Linked DNA regions of Mus musculus. The protein of the gene in region 2 interacts with the protein of the main gene of each other region in a biochemical or structural test. Links are inferred from orthologs where the notes say so. Each region holds a gene or a part of one and is shown on either strand. Other genes may lie near its edges.

Region 1 (5,872 bases), on a different chromosome or scaffold from region 2:
AGCCCAGATTGCATAGTAAGTTCCAGGCACTTCTGGAATACAACACAGGTCCCTGTCCAAAGACAAAAACAAAAAACAAAAAACAAAAAACAAAAAACAAAAACAAAAACAAAAAAAAAGAAAACAGAAACGTGCACTAAAAAAAAAAAAAAAAAAAAAAAATAGACATAGAAGAAGGAGGGTCCATGAGGGCAGACCTCAGAAGAGGTTGATGCTCCTCTGTACACAGGAAGAGAATTGCCCAAGATTCTTACCCTGTGAGTCCCAGGACAGTGTGGACATACTGTAAGACCCTGTTCAAAACAGACAGACTGGGCAGGCATGGTGGTACATGCCTTTAATCTCAGCACTCAGAAGGAAGCAGCAGGTAGATTTCTGTGAGTTCCAGACCAGCCTAGCCTACAGAGTGAGTTTCAGGGCAGCCAGGGCTATACTGAAAATCCCTGTCTGAAAACAAGACAAAAAACAGACAGATCCACCAAAAACAACTAAAGGACCAGAAAGATGGGTCAGGGCTTAAGTGCTTGCTATTCTTTGCAGAGGACCCAAATTTAGTCCCCAGATTGCTCCATGTGGAGCTTCACAAACATCTTAACTCCAGTTCTACAAGATCAGATGCCATCTTCCGACCTCCTTGTACACCATACAGACATGATATATAATATACACACAGAGGAGAGGGGGAGAGGGAGAGAGAGAGAGAGAGAAAACACTCACATAAAGATTAAAAGAAGGGGGCTGGAGAGATGGCTCAGCGGTTAAGAACACTCACTGCTCTTCCAGAGGGCCTGAGTTCAATTCCCAGCAACCACATGGTGGCTCACAACCATCTGTAATGGGATCTGATGCCCTCTTCTGGTGTGTCTGAAGACAGCTACTGTGTACTCATGTACAGAAAATAAATAAAAAAATTTAAAAAAAAAAAAAAAAAAAAAAAAAAAAAGATTAAAAGAAAATCTTGGTTTTTGTCTTTTTTTTTTTTTTTTTTGCCTGTGAGGTGTGAGATAGCAGCCACTGTTCTGGCGGGGGGTGGGGGGGGTGTTGGTTTTTTGTTTTTGTTTTGTTTTTTCGAGACTGGGTTTTTCTGTATAGCCCTGGCTGTCCTGGAACTCACTTTGTAGATCAGGCTGGCCTCGAACTCAGAAATCCACCTGCCTCTGCCTCCTGAGTGCTGGGATCAAAGGCGTGCGCCACGCCTGGCTGTCACTGTTCTCTGAGCCATCTCACCAGCCTTTAATCCGGGAATCAGGAGGCCGAGGCAATCGGATCTCAGTGAGCTCTAGGCTAGCCTAGTCTACAAAGTTGTGTTCCAGGACAACCAGAAACTAGTCTTGGAAAAACAAACAAAGGCTGGAGAGATGGCTCAGTGGTTAAGAACACTGGCTGCTCTTCCAGAGGTCCTGTGTTCAATTCTCAGTAACCACAAGGTGGCTCACAACCATCTGTAATGGGATCTTATGACCTGTTCTAGCACGTAGGTAAACAAGCAGACAGACCACTCCTACATTTAAAAAAAATACATAAATAAAATTTAAAAACATTGGGTGTTTTGTCTTCTAATAAAAATCCATTGCTAACAGGGGAGTGGTGGCTGGGACCTTTAATCCCAACATTTAGAAGGTAGAGGCTGGTGGATCATTGAGTTTGAAGCCAGCCTGATCTACCAGCCTGATCAGCCACGGATACTCAGAAAAATCCTGTTTCGAACCCCCCCCACTCTCCAAAAAAAAAAAAAAAAAAAAAAAAAAGTCACTCTTGCTTGGAGAAAAAAGGTCGGAAGTCTTGGTGTACGCCCTTAATCCTAGCACTCTGGAGACAGTAGCAGGAGGATTACAGAGATGGAAACCAGTCCCAGCCTCTCAAATAAAGAAAATAAAAGGAAAGGGAAATGGCACGGTACGTGACTGCCAGATAAGGTTCGCGTACTTGCTCGGAAATTACGTGAGATCGACGGCTCTCTCGATTGAGCCTAGGGCACGCCTGAGAAGCTGCGGTGACCTCACAGAGCGCGGAGTCTCCGCGAGAAGTTCAGTGTTGTTTTCCTCTTTCCACCTTTCCCAGGGACTTCCGAGACCCCGCCTCTCCGGTGACGTCAGCACAGCGCCGCGTCAGGGTATAAAAGCCGCGTGGACGATGTTGGCGCAGATTGAGTCAGCTCTGAGTTTGTGGAAGATTACATGCGATATCCCGCGCGACCCCGCATCCCTTTGCCGGCCGGGACAGCCTTTGCTACAGCCTGTGAAACATTGCGTCCCCGAGCCCCACGCCTGAGGGCGACATGAACCCGCTGGCTTCGCGAGCAGTCCGGACCCACGATCGCTTTTGGCAACCAGAACCGGCGCTTCAGCCCCCGGGGTGACGTGCAGCCCGCCGGTGAGTGGGGGATGGGGCGGCCTTTGAGGGAGGACTCTCTGGCGAGGAGACTGGAGAGAGTTGTGGAATCTGAGGGGGCAAGCTGGAGGGCGATTCCAGGTTTGGGGAAAAGGCACAGAAGCCCAGATGGCTTATTTGGTCTGAGAGAGGAGAGCCCACGTCTACACTCTTCGTTTAAAGGGAAAGGGGCCGGGAGGCTCGACCGGCAATATCTGTATAGCGCCAAATAAAGGGAAGGACCCCAGGAGGAATAACCAGGGTCCGAGGGGTAGGCAGAGGGAGGTTTTAGGGGCATGAACACAAGCTTGAGGAACGAAAGGTCACTAAAAAGCCAGACTCTTACAGGTCTGAGAAGGGCTGGCCAGGAACTGTGACTGGGGCTAAGGGAAGGGTTTAAGAGTGTGGGCTCTTGGTTCTAAGGATGTAGAGCTTGGGTGTTGAGAGAGATTAACCAAGTGGCAGAGTTGGGTGTGAGCAATGTTATTTGGAATTCGAGGCAGGCATTCACGTGTTGCTGCTGTGACTATTTGTTACCATGACTCAGTGCTGTGACCCGAGACTGTTTCCCAGAGCGACTTCTAAACAAATTTCCCCCCTTTCTAGCCCAGACACATGGCCCCGAGCCCAAGACCCCAGCATGTCCTGCACTGGAGGGACGCCCACAACTTCTATCTCCTGTCCCCACTGATGGGCTTGCTCAGTCGGGCCTGGAGCCGCCTGAGGGGCCCAGAAGTCCCAGAGGCATGGCTGGCAAAAACAGTAACAGGAGCAGATCAGATAGAAGCTGCGGCTCTGCTGACACCTACCCCTGTCTCTGGTAACCTCCTCCCTCATGGGGAGACTGAAGAAAGTGGATCTCCTGAACAGAGTCAAGCAGCCCAGAGGCTCTGCCTTGTGGAAGCTGAAAGTTCCCCTCCTGAAACTTGGGGACTTTCAAATGTTGATGAGTACAATGCAAAGCCAGGACAAGATGACCTTAGAGAGAAGGAAATGGAACGCACAGCTGGCAAGGCCACACTACAGCCCGCTGGCCTGCAAGGGGCTGATAAGAGGCTTGGGGAGGTGGTGGCTAGAGAAGAGGGAGTGGCTGAGCCCGCTTATCCCACATCACAGCTGGAGGGTGGTCCAGCTGAGAATGAAGAGGATGGAGAAACAGTGAAGACTTACCAAGCTTCTGCTGCTTCCATAGCTCCGGGATACAAACCCAGCACCCCTGTGCCTTTCTTGGGGGAGGCAGAACATCAAGCCACGGAAGAAAAAGGAACAGAAAACAAGGCTGACCCCTCCAACTCTCCTTCTTCAGGCTCCCACTCCAGAGCCTGGGAGTACTACTCTAGAGAGAAGCCTAAGCAGGAGGGAGAAGCCAAGGTAGAGGCACACAGGGCAGGGCAGGGTCACCCTTGTCGGAATGCTGAGGCTGAGGAAGGAGGACCTGAGACAACTTTTGTCTGTACTGGAAATGCCTTCCTGAAGGCCTGGGTGTATCGCCCAGGAGAGGACACAGAGGAAGAAGACAACAGCGATTCGGATTCAGCTGAGGAAGACACAGCTCAGACCGGTGCCACCCCCCATACAAGTGCCTTCCTGAAGGCCTGGGTGTATCGCCCAGGAGAGGACACAGAGGAAGAAGACAGCGATTCGGATTCAGCTGAGGAAGACACAGCTCAGACCGGTGCCACCCCCCATACAAGTGCCTTCCTGAAGGCCTGGGTGTATCGCCCAGGAGAGGACACAGAGGAAGAAAACAGCGATTTGGATTCAGCTGAGGAAGACACAGCTCAGACCGGTGCCACCCCCCATACAAGTGCCTTCCTGAAGGCCTGGGTGTATCGCCCAGGAGAGGACACAGAGGAAGAAAACAGCGATTTGGATTCAGCTGAGGAAGACACAGCTCAGACCGGTGCCACCCCACATACAAGTCCCTTCCTGAAGGCCTGGGTGTATCGCCCAGGAGAGGACACAGAAGATGACACAGAAGAGGAAGAGGACAGTGAGAATGTGGCCCCAGGTGACTCAGAAACAGCTGACTCAAGCCAGAGTCCCTGCCTTCAGCCCCAGCGTTGTCTACCAGGAGAGAAGACCAAGGGACGTGGGGAAGAGCCCCCTCTCTTCCAGGTGGCCTTCTATTTACCCGGAGAGAAGCCAGAATCACCTTGGGCTGCACCTAAGCTGCCCCTTCGACTGCAGAGGCGGCTCAGATTGTTCAAAGCCCCCACCCGGGATCAGGACCCCGAGATTCCTCTAAAAGCTCGGAAGGTGAGTGTTAGACTAGATTCTAAAGCCGCTTACTTTGTGGCTCAGGAATTTATAGTCCTAGGGCTGGGATTACAATAGAATTCCACACTGCCTTTTTTTTTTCTTTAATATATAATTTATTCAAAGGGCCTAGATTCTGAGTCGGGAGGAGGAAGAGTCTGGGACCTGAAAATCCCTAAGGAAGTGTGTTGGAGGCGGAGACTCCAGGGAAGCCATGGGTTGCGACTTCTTGCATATGAACTCTGCTGGGAAGGCTGTGTTCACTCTCTTGCAATCTCCTGTAAGAGGCAGGGAGAGTGGTAGTTGTGGCCTGGACATCTGTGTCTTAGAGTGAATCAGAGGGGCAGGCAGGTGACTATTCAAATACCAAACATTTTTGCGTGACAGACTTTTTTATTTATTGTCCCCGTCCCCAGGTACACTTCGCTGAGAAAGTCACAGTCCATTTCCTTGCTGTCTGGGCAGGACCAGCCCAAGCTGCCCGTCGAGGTCCCTGGGAGCAGTTTGCACGAGATCGAAGCCGCTTTGCTCGACGCATTGCCCAGGCAGAGGAGAAGCTGGGTCCCTACCTTACCCCTGATTCCAGGGCCAGAGCATGGGCACGCCTTAGAAACCCATCTCTTCCACAGTCCGAGCCTCGCTCTTCCTCTGAGGCCACTCCCTTGACCCAAGATGTGACCACACCCTCTCCCCTTCCCAGTGAAACCCCTTCGCCCAGCCTGTACTTGGGAGGGAGGCGGGGCTAAGCCTGAGTAGTTTCCTATTATTTATTTATTTATTTATTTGAATAAGAAATAAAGCCTTTTAATTTGTAGTGATAAACTCTTACGTGTGTTCTTTATTGGTAGCTTCCGGGGAGGCTAAAAATGGTGTCCAAACTTTAGTTTAAGACCAACTTGATCTAGTGAGACCCTCTTAAAACACAGTCCTGTGTAAGGGACTTCCTTATGTAAGGTGCCACAAGTAATCTCCGCACTGGGAAGCTGAGGCAGGAGACTGGCTTGGGTTCCAAGACAAGCATAACATAGTGTGGCTGTCTCAAAAAAATTGAAGGGACAAGGAAGGGTGGCATATATACACAAGGTGCAACGACGACATCTATGTTATAACGAAGCCCATTATTTTGTACACTAACTAAAAAAAGAATAGTCAAAAGATTTATTGTTAAAAGACAAGGCCAGGCACAAAGGTGCGCGTGCTTTGTCATCCCAGTACTTCAGGGGTGGAAGCAGGAGGAGCGGAT
Region 2 (5,980 bases):
GAAAACACTCATCAGGGTCCTGGGGTTGAGCCAGGCGTCTATTGGGCAGCCTCTTCCCCACACCCACCTGGAAGGAACACATGAGGGTCTCATCCACACTCATCATGGCACCAGCATTGTCAAACTCTCCACAGTAGTTGGGAGCTGAGAAGAGTGTCACCAACTGTCTCTTGGCAAAGAACTCATAGCCATCTTCTACAACCTGGGCCAGGGCAGGAACGGTTTAGTCTGTAAGTTAGGCACCCCACCCCCACCCCCAGCCCGCCCCAGGCCACCAGCCCACCTGATGTGCTCTGCAGATGAGGTCCAAATCATGCTTGTGCAGGAACTTGGCTACCACCTCAGCCCCAAAGGTAAAGGAGACACCACGGTCATTCTCGCCCCAGCCTTGAACATCCTTGTCAGGGTCAGACCACAGGAGATCACACAGTAGGCCCTGGTCAGGCACGTCTGTGGGCCGCATAATACGCCTAATCTGCTCCATGGATTGCAAGTCTGGAGACAGGCCTGGGGGTGGTGGAGTGGGAATAGTGTTCCTTAAACCAAGTGCTGTCCTGTGCCCAGCTCTGGGGTGGGACAGCTCCACTGTTCCCACCGCTAATCTGGGCTCCTTAAGTTCAGGGAGACAGAATCCATTACTTCCCCACTGGCCCCATTTCTCTGTGGCCTTGGCTGTCCTGGAACTCACTTTATATGACACCACCACTTAGAAGTACAGATAGCAGACCTCGGGGGTGGGGGGGCAGAAGGAGATTAATGAGTTGACTACAGGATGCCTCATGCCACAACAGGAAAGAGTGCAACCAAACTGGTGGGTGGAGCATGCCTTTAATCCCATCACTTGGGAGTCAGAGATAGGCAGGAGCTCTAGTGAGTTCAAGGCCAACCAGGTCTACAAAGTGAGTTCCAGGACTGTCAGGGTTTTACCCAGAAAGCCAGTCTCAAAAACAAACGGGGGTGTGGTAATCTCCCCTAATAAGCGATATCCAAGATGAGATTCAAGGAGCGCTATTCCAGGGAACTGAGAAGAGTTCTGTTAACTTTACAAGGCCCCTAAGGATGTGGCCCAAGAACCCAAGCACAGACCCACAACCACTCTCACCCCCGTGGCAGCAGAAGATCTTCTCATCCACAATGGCTGCAATGGGCAGGCAGTTGAAGCAGTCAGTGAACGTCTTCCACAGTTTGATGTTGTATCTTCTCTTGCCTGCGCAAAAGGAAGCGGCTCATAGGGAAGACTACACCCCCAACCCCCAACCCCAGTCTAGGTTTCTGTGCACCCATCCAGGGACAAAGCTGAGAAAAAAAGACCGAAAAGCAAAGAAAGCTTACATTCTTCTCTTTGCTCTACCCTCATCTACCTTCCAGAATTCCAACACCTGAACTCGTCTGGCCCAACCATGATGGTGGTACCCACTCTGGTCCCATGGATGAGGCCAAACCAGGAGTGGGTCTGTTTTATTCATACAGGCATCCTAAATGTTTACTAAGGAATGTACTAGAAGGGGGTGTCATCAGGCAGGGCTGTGGCTTTAGCAAATGGGCAGCCCTGCATGTACATCCATTCACCAGGCCCCTCCTGAGCGCCAAGGACGACAGACGTGTTGCTGGGGCCCTACAGGGCTCATCATTGGGGGTCTTTTGGCACTAGACCAATGTAGGGGGCCCATGAAGAGCAGGGAATGTAGTTCTGGGCAGACAGCAACATTCAAAGCACTTACATTCATCATAGAAGCCATAAATGCGGTTGATGCTGGCACACTCATGGTTCCCACGAAGTAGAAAGAAATTCTCCGGGTATCTGATCTTATAGGCCAGCAACAGGCAGATGGTCTCCAAAGACTGCTTGCCCCGATCTACATAATCCCCCAAGAAGAGGTAGTTGCTCTCTGGAGGGAAGCCACCATACTCAAACAGCCGTAGAAGGTCATAGTACTGGCCATGGATGTCACCTGGGAACCAGAGAAAACTAGGTAGGTGCAAGATGTAAACTTGACCCCAGGGCCAGCAATAGGTTAAAGGGTGGAGGAACACGGTTAATGGGGCACGAGTAGGGGCTATTTTCAGGAAGCAAAAGGGTTCTGTGCAAGGATTTACCACAGATCTTGAGGGGCGCCTCAAGCTCCAGAAGAATGGGCTGGCTCAGGAAAATCTCCCGGGATTTGAGGCACAGACCACGGATCTCGTTCTCTGTCAGCTGCACGTTCTTCCCAGGCCGTGAGCCCTGCACTGAGTACGGAATAGGGTCTTGGGACCCTGACCTCGCAGACCGGACGAGGGTAGGTGTCGCGCCCCCCTAACAGGGGCAACTGTTGCAAGTGAGCCCCCACCCCCTCACCCCGAAACCTTTGCGTCAGGCCTTCAAAGGCAAGATCCGACCCCTTAGCCACCCGGAGGGCCTCCAGAGAAACGCCTGTGCTCAGCAGCCTGTCAGCCGAAGCTTCCTCGCTTCGGGATCCCTTCCCAGCTAGCTTCGCAGGAGCCTCACCCTGAGTCCCGGGCACTCGTGCACCCCCGGCCTCTGAGCGCGCTCCAAAGCCCAGGCGCCCGCGGGGGGGGGGGGTGCCGTGGCCATGGATCCTCACGGCCTGTCCCCGCCCAAGCGACGCTAGCCCCCGGGAGCGGCGGGCCGCCCGCGCGCCACTTCCAGACGGCGAGGGGCCCGGGCTCGGCGCGAGCGCACCTTCCCTACCCCTGCCCACCTTCCAGCAGGCGCCCGATGATGGAGTCCAGGTTGAGCTTCTCGCTGTCGGACATGGCGGCGCCGCCGCTCCGGCCCACCAGCTCCGGGCCCTCTCCTGCCTCCCGCCCTCTTACAGCCTCCTTCCGGCCTGGCTCTCCTTCCGCCCTCCCCAGCCCGCCCCCGGCCCGCCGCCCCTCCTCTTCGGTCGACCGCCCCGCCCCGCCCTGCCGCGTCCGTAGTTCCCCGCTCTCTAGCGCCTCCCCTGGACGGGAAGCTCCGCAGCCCGAGAGGGCCTCGGGCGAGCGGGCGGGGCTGGCAGGGGTGGTGAGCCGGGGTTCGGTAGGGCGGGGTTAGGTCGGCTCCACCCTGGAGGAATCGCCCTGCCGCGTTCAGATGAGTTAGGGCCGGAAGTACTGTAGGAATTGTTTTTCTCTTTCCAAGTCTCTCCCACCCCAGCCCTGCGTGGGACTGTGGTATGAGCATGTTAATCGCTGACTTCTCAAACACTAAATAAATTCCTCGAAGTGCAGAAAAAGAAACTAAGGCTTAATGATACTGAGAGTGGGCTCCAGACCTCCGGAGCCTCACATTCACCTCCATCTTTATGGCCAGACCCATGAACACCTGCTACTGAACTCTAAGCAGTGTTTTGGTCCAGGTTGCCTTGGTGCCTGCTACGTCCATTTTTTTTCCATAAGTGATGTAATACGTTGTATCTCGTTCATGTTGTAAGTCCTTTGTAGAGTACTTGGACTTGTCTAGCATGTGCAAGGCCTGAGGTTCCAGCTCCGGCTCTGGAAGGAACATTAAAGTAGGCTTGGTGTCGTAAACCTATAATTCCAGTGCCTGAAATTCCTGCACTCAGGAGTCTGGACACAGGAGGATCAGAAGTTCAGGGTCATCTCCTGTCTGGGCTACATAAGACCCTGTTCTCACACTACCCCTTCACTCTCAAAACAAAACAAAACAAAAAACCCGGGGCAGGGGGTTGGAGGGGTGGGATGACATTAAAGGATAATTATTATTGGAACCATAAATTGGTTTTACTTGGTAAAACTGAAGGTGGCCTGTCATCTTCAATTTGGGCCAGCCAGGGAATCAATACACCCAGCATCCTCTGGATGGGAGGAGGTCGTGGCTCTGGCACTAGGGCAAGCAGGAAGAACCTCACAGAGGAAGGGGGGAGTCCCCCCACCAGGGAGGGGCCCCCAGCAAGCTGCTGAGCTGAGACTGAGGAGGAAGTGAGAAGAAGAGGTGAGGTGCAGCAAGGAGGTGAGCCGGGCTGCTGGGGTAGGGGCCAGGCTTGGGGCTGGGGCTCTGCACAGAGACTTGGTCTCAGGGTCTACCCGACTCCCCAGCAAAAGAGGGGGCTTAGTCCCCTGTGACTGAGGACTGGTGGCTGGAATCCCCAGCCTGAGTCTGGCTGTTCACACTGGCTCTCTGTATGTCTTGCAGCCTGTGACACTGGGGTCCAGGGCAGAATGGCCCAGGCCCTGGGAGAGGACTTGTTATCAGAACTACAGGATGATTCTAGCTCCCTAGGGTCTGACTCAGAGCTGAGTGGGCCCAGTCCATATCGCCAGGCTGACCGTTATGGCTTCATTGGGGGCAACTCAGGTGAACTGAGGTGAGTGAGGCATGGGTAGGGGAGAGAGTAGGGTCCAGAGACTGAGGACACTAGCCCAAAACTCAGCTGCTGGTGTCACTGCTCGGTTCCGCGTGGTGGGGTGGGGGTGGGGGTGGGGTGTGCTTTATCTCTTTATCCTCTGACGATCTGTACCTTCCCCTAAAGCTGAACATCCTTTCCCTTTTAACCTCTGGTCCAAGAACCCCAGATGGAAATTTGGATGTCTTCTCTTCTCCAGGTTTCCCTTACACAGTTAATCACAGACAGAAACTTGACACATCGCACAGCAGATCAGAAAAAGAAGCAGATTCAGACTCAGGACTTCAGGCTTCCAGTCCAGGGCACTATCCACCCAGCTTCCCCTATGAGTTAGCTCTGTCTCTGTTTTAGGGGACAGCCAAATAGACCTACCCTAAATACCTCCTCATCCCATTAGTCTTTCCAGCTTCTATCCCTTTATTCCTGTTTGTTTGTTTGTTTGTTTGTTTGTTTGTTTCAAGACAGGGTTTCTCTGTATAGCCCTGGCTGTCCTGGAACTCACTCTGTAGACCAGGCTGGCCTCGAACTCAGAAATCTGCCTGCCTCTGCCTCCCGAGTGCTGGGATTAAAGTGCTCCACCACGCCTGGCCAGTTTCTATCCCTATTGAAACCCAAATCCCCTTCCTTTACCTTTGATACTGTGTCTGTTGTGTGCCTCCAGGCTTTGTCAACCCTCTGCAGACCTCATCCGCCAGCGAGAGATGAAATGGGTGGAAATGACCTTACACTGGGAGAAGACCATGTCCCGACGATACAAGAAGGTAAGGAAAAAGAGGTGTACATACACTGGTTCCCAAAGTTCTCAATCCCCCTGCTTCTGCTTCCCAAGTGGACTCTTGACCAAAGAAAAGCTGTGCTTAGAGCTGGGCAATGGTGGCGCACACCTTTAATCCTAACACTTGGGAGGCAGAGGCAGGCGGATTTCTGAGTTAAAGGCCAGCCTGGTCTACAGAGTGAGTTCCAGGACAGCCAGGGCTATAAAGAGAAACCCTGTATCCAAAAACCAAAAAAAGAAAGGAAGGAAGGAAAAGACCGAAAGAAAGAAGCAAGCAAGCTGTGCCTGAGAGCAAGAGAGCAGAAGAAACCCTAATGCATCTGACCTCACCCACAGGTAAAGATCCAGTGCCGCAAGGGCATCCCCTCAGCCCTGCGTGCCCGGTGTTGGCCCCTCCTGTGTGGGGCCCGGATGTGTCAGAAGAACAACCCTGGCACCTACCAGGTAAGAAAGTTGGCAGGATCTTTACTACCCCTTCTCAGAGCTCCCTGCCACCTGACCCTCCATATCTCCCTTCCTCCCACCAACAGGAGCTGGCAGCAGCCCCCGGGGACCCGCAGTGGATGGAGACCATTGGCAGAGACTTGCACCGTCAGTTTCCTCTGCATGAGATGTTTGTGTCACCCCAGGGACACGGGTACGAGGCCAGGGATACCCACGCTCCTCATGCTAGATTCTTTAGTTCTACTTTTACATCCTTGGACGAGGGAGACTCTGGCCTGGGCAGAGGCCACAGAGGGCAGGCAGGGGGATGCCTGGGAGGCTAGCCTTAATGAGCTCTTTTGGCACAGGCAGCAGGGGCTGCTGCAGGTTCTCAAGGCCTACACCCTGTACCGGCCAGAGCAGGGATACTGCC

The links. The genes of interacting proteins can lie anywhere in the genome.
Region 1: the proteins of Ppp1ca (region 2) and Ppp1r15a are reported together in a solved structure, tested with the Homo sapiens proteins (2 studies listed by BioGRID and IntAct, with this or other methods). The link is inferred for Mus musculus from reciprocal best matches to the Homo sapiens genes PPP1CA and PPP1R15A.

What each region holds. Positions count from the first base shown.
Region 1 is NC_000073.6:45,522,496-45,528,367, reverse strand, and holds Ppp1r15a (protein phosphatase 1 regulatory subunit 15A), read left to right. Parts: upstream 1-2,099; 5' UTR 2,100-2,373; intron 2,374-2,976; 5' UTR 2,977-2,985; coding exon 2,986-4,629; intron 4,630-4,721; exon of another isoform or gene 4,722-4,905; coding exon of another isoform or gene 4,906-4,907; intron 4,908-5,045; coding exon 5,046-5,375; 3' UTR 5,376-5,451; downstream 5,452-5,872. UniProt on the Homo sapiens protein: Recruits the serine/threonine-protein phosphatase PPP1CA to prevents excessive phosphorylation of the translation initiation factor eIF-2A/EIF2S1, thereby reversing the shut-off of protein synthesis initiated by stress-inducible kinases and facilitating recovery of cells from stress.
Region 2 is NC_000085.6:4,188,994-4,194,973, reverse strand, and holds the start of Ppp1ca (serine/threonine-protein phosphatase PP1-alpha catalytic subunit), read right to left. Parts: upstream 2,801-5,980; 5' UTR 2,758-2,800; coding exon 2,703-2,757; intron 2,230-2,702; coding exon 2,098-2,229; intron 1,953-2,097; coding exon 1,722-1,952; intron 1,208-1,721; coding exon 1,103-1,207; intron 508-1,102; coding exon 284-507; intron 203-283; coding exon 68-202; intron 1-67. Other genes in the region: Tbc1d10c (carabin), read left to right, coding at 4,165-4,310, 5,011-5,110, 5,461-5,568, 5,655-5,761, 5,916-5,980. UniProt on the Homo sapiens protein: Protein phosphatase that associates with over 200 regulatory proteins to form highly specific holoenzymes which dephosphorylate hundreds of biological targets.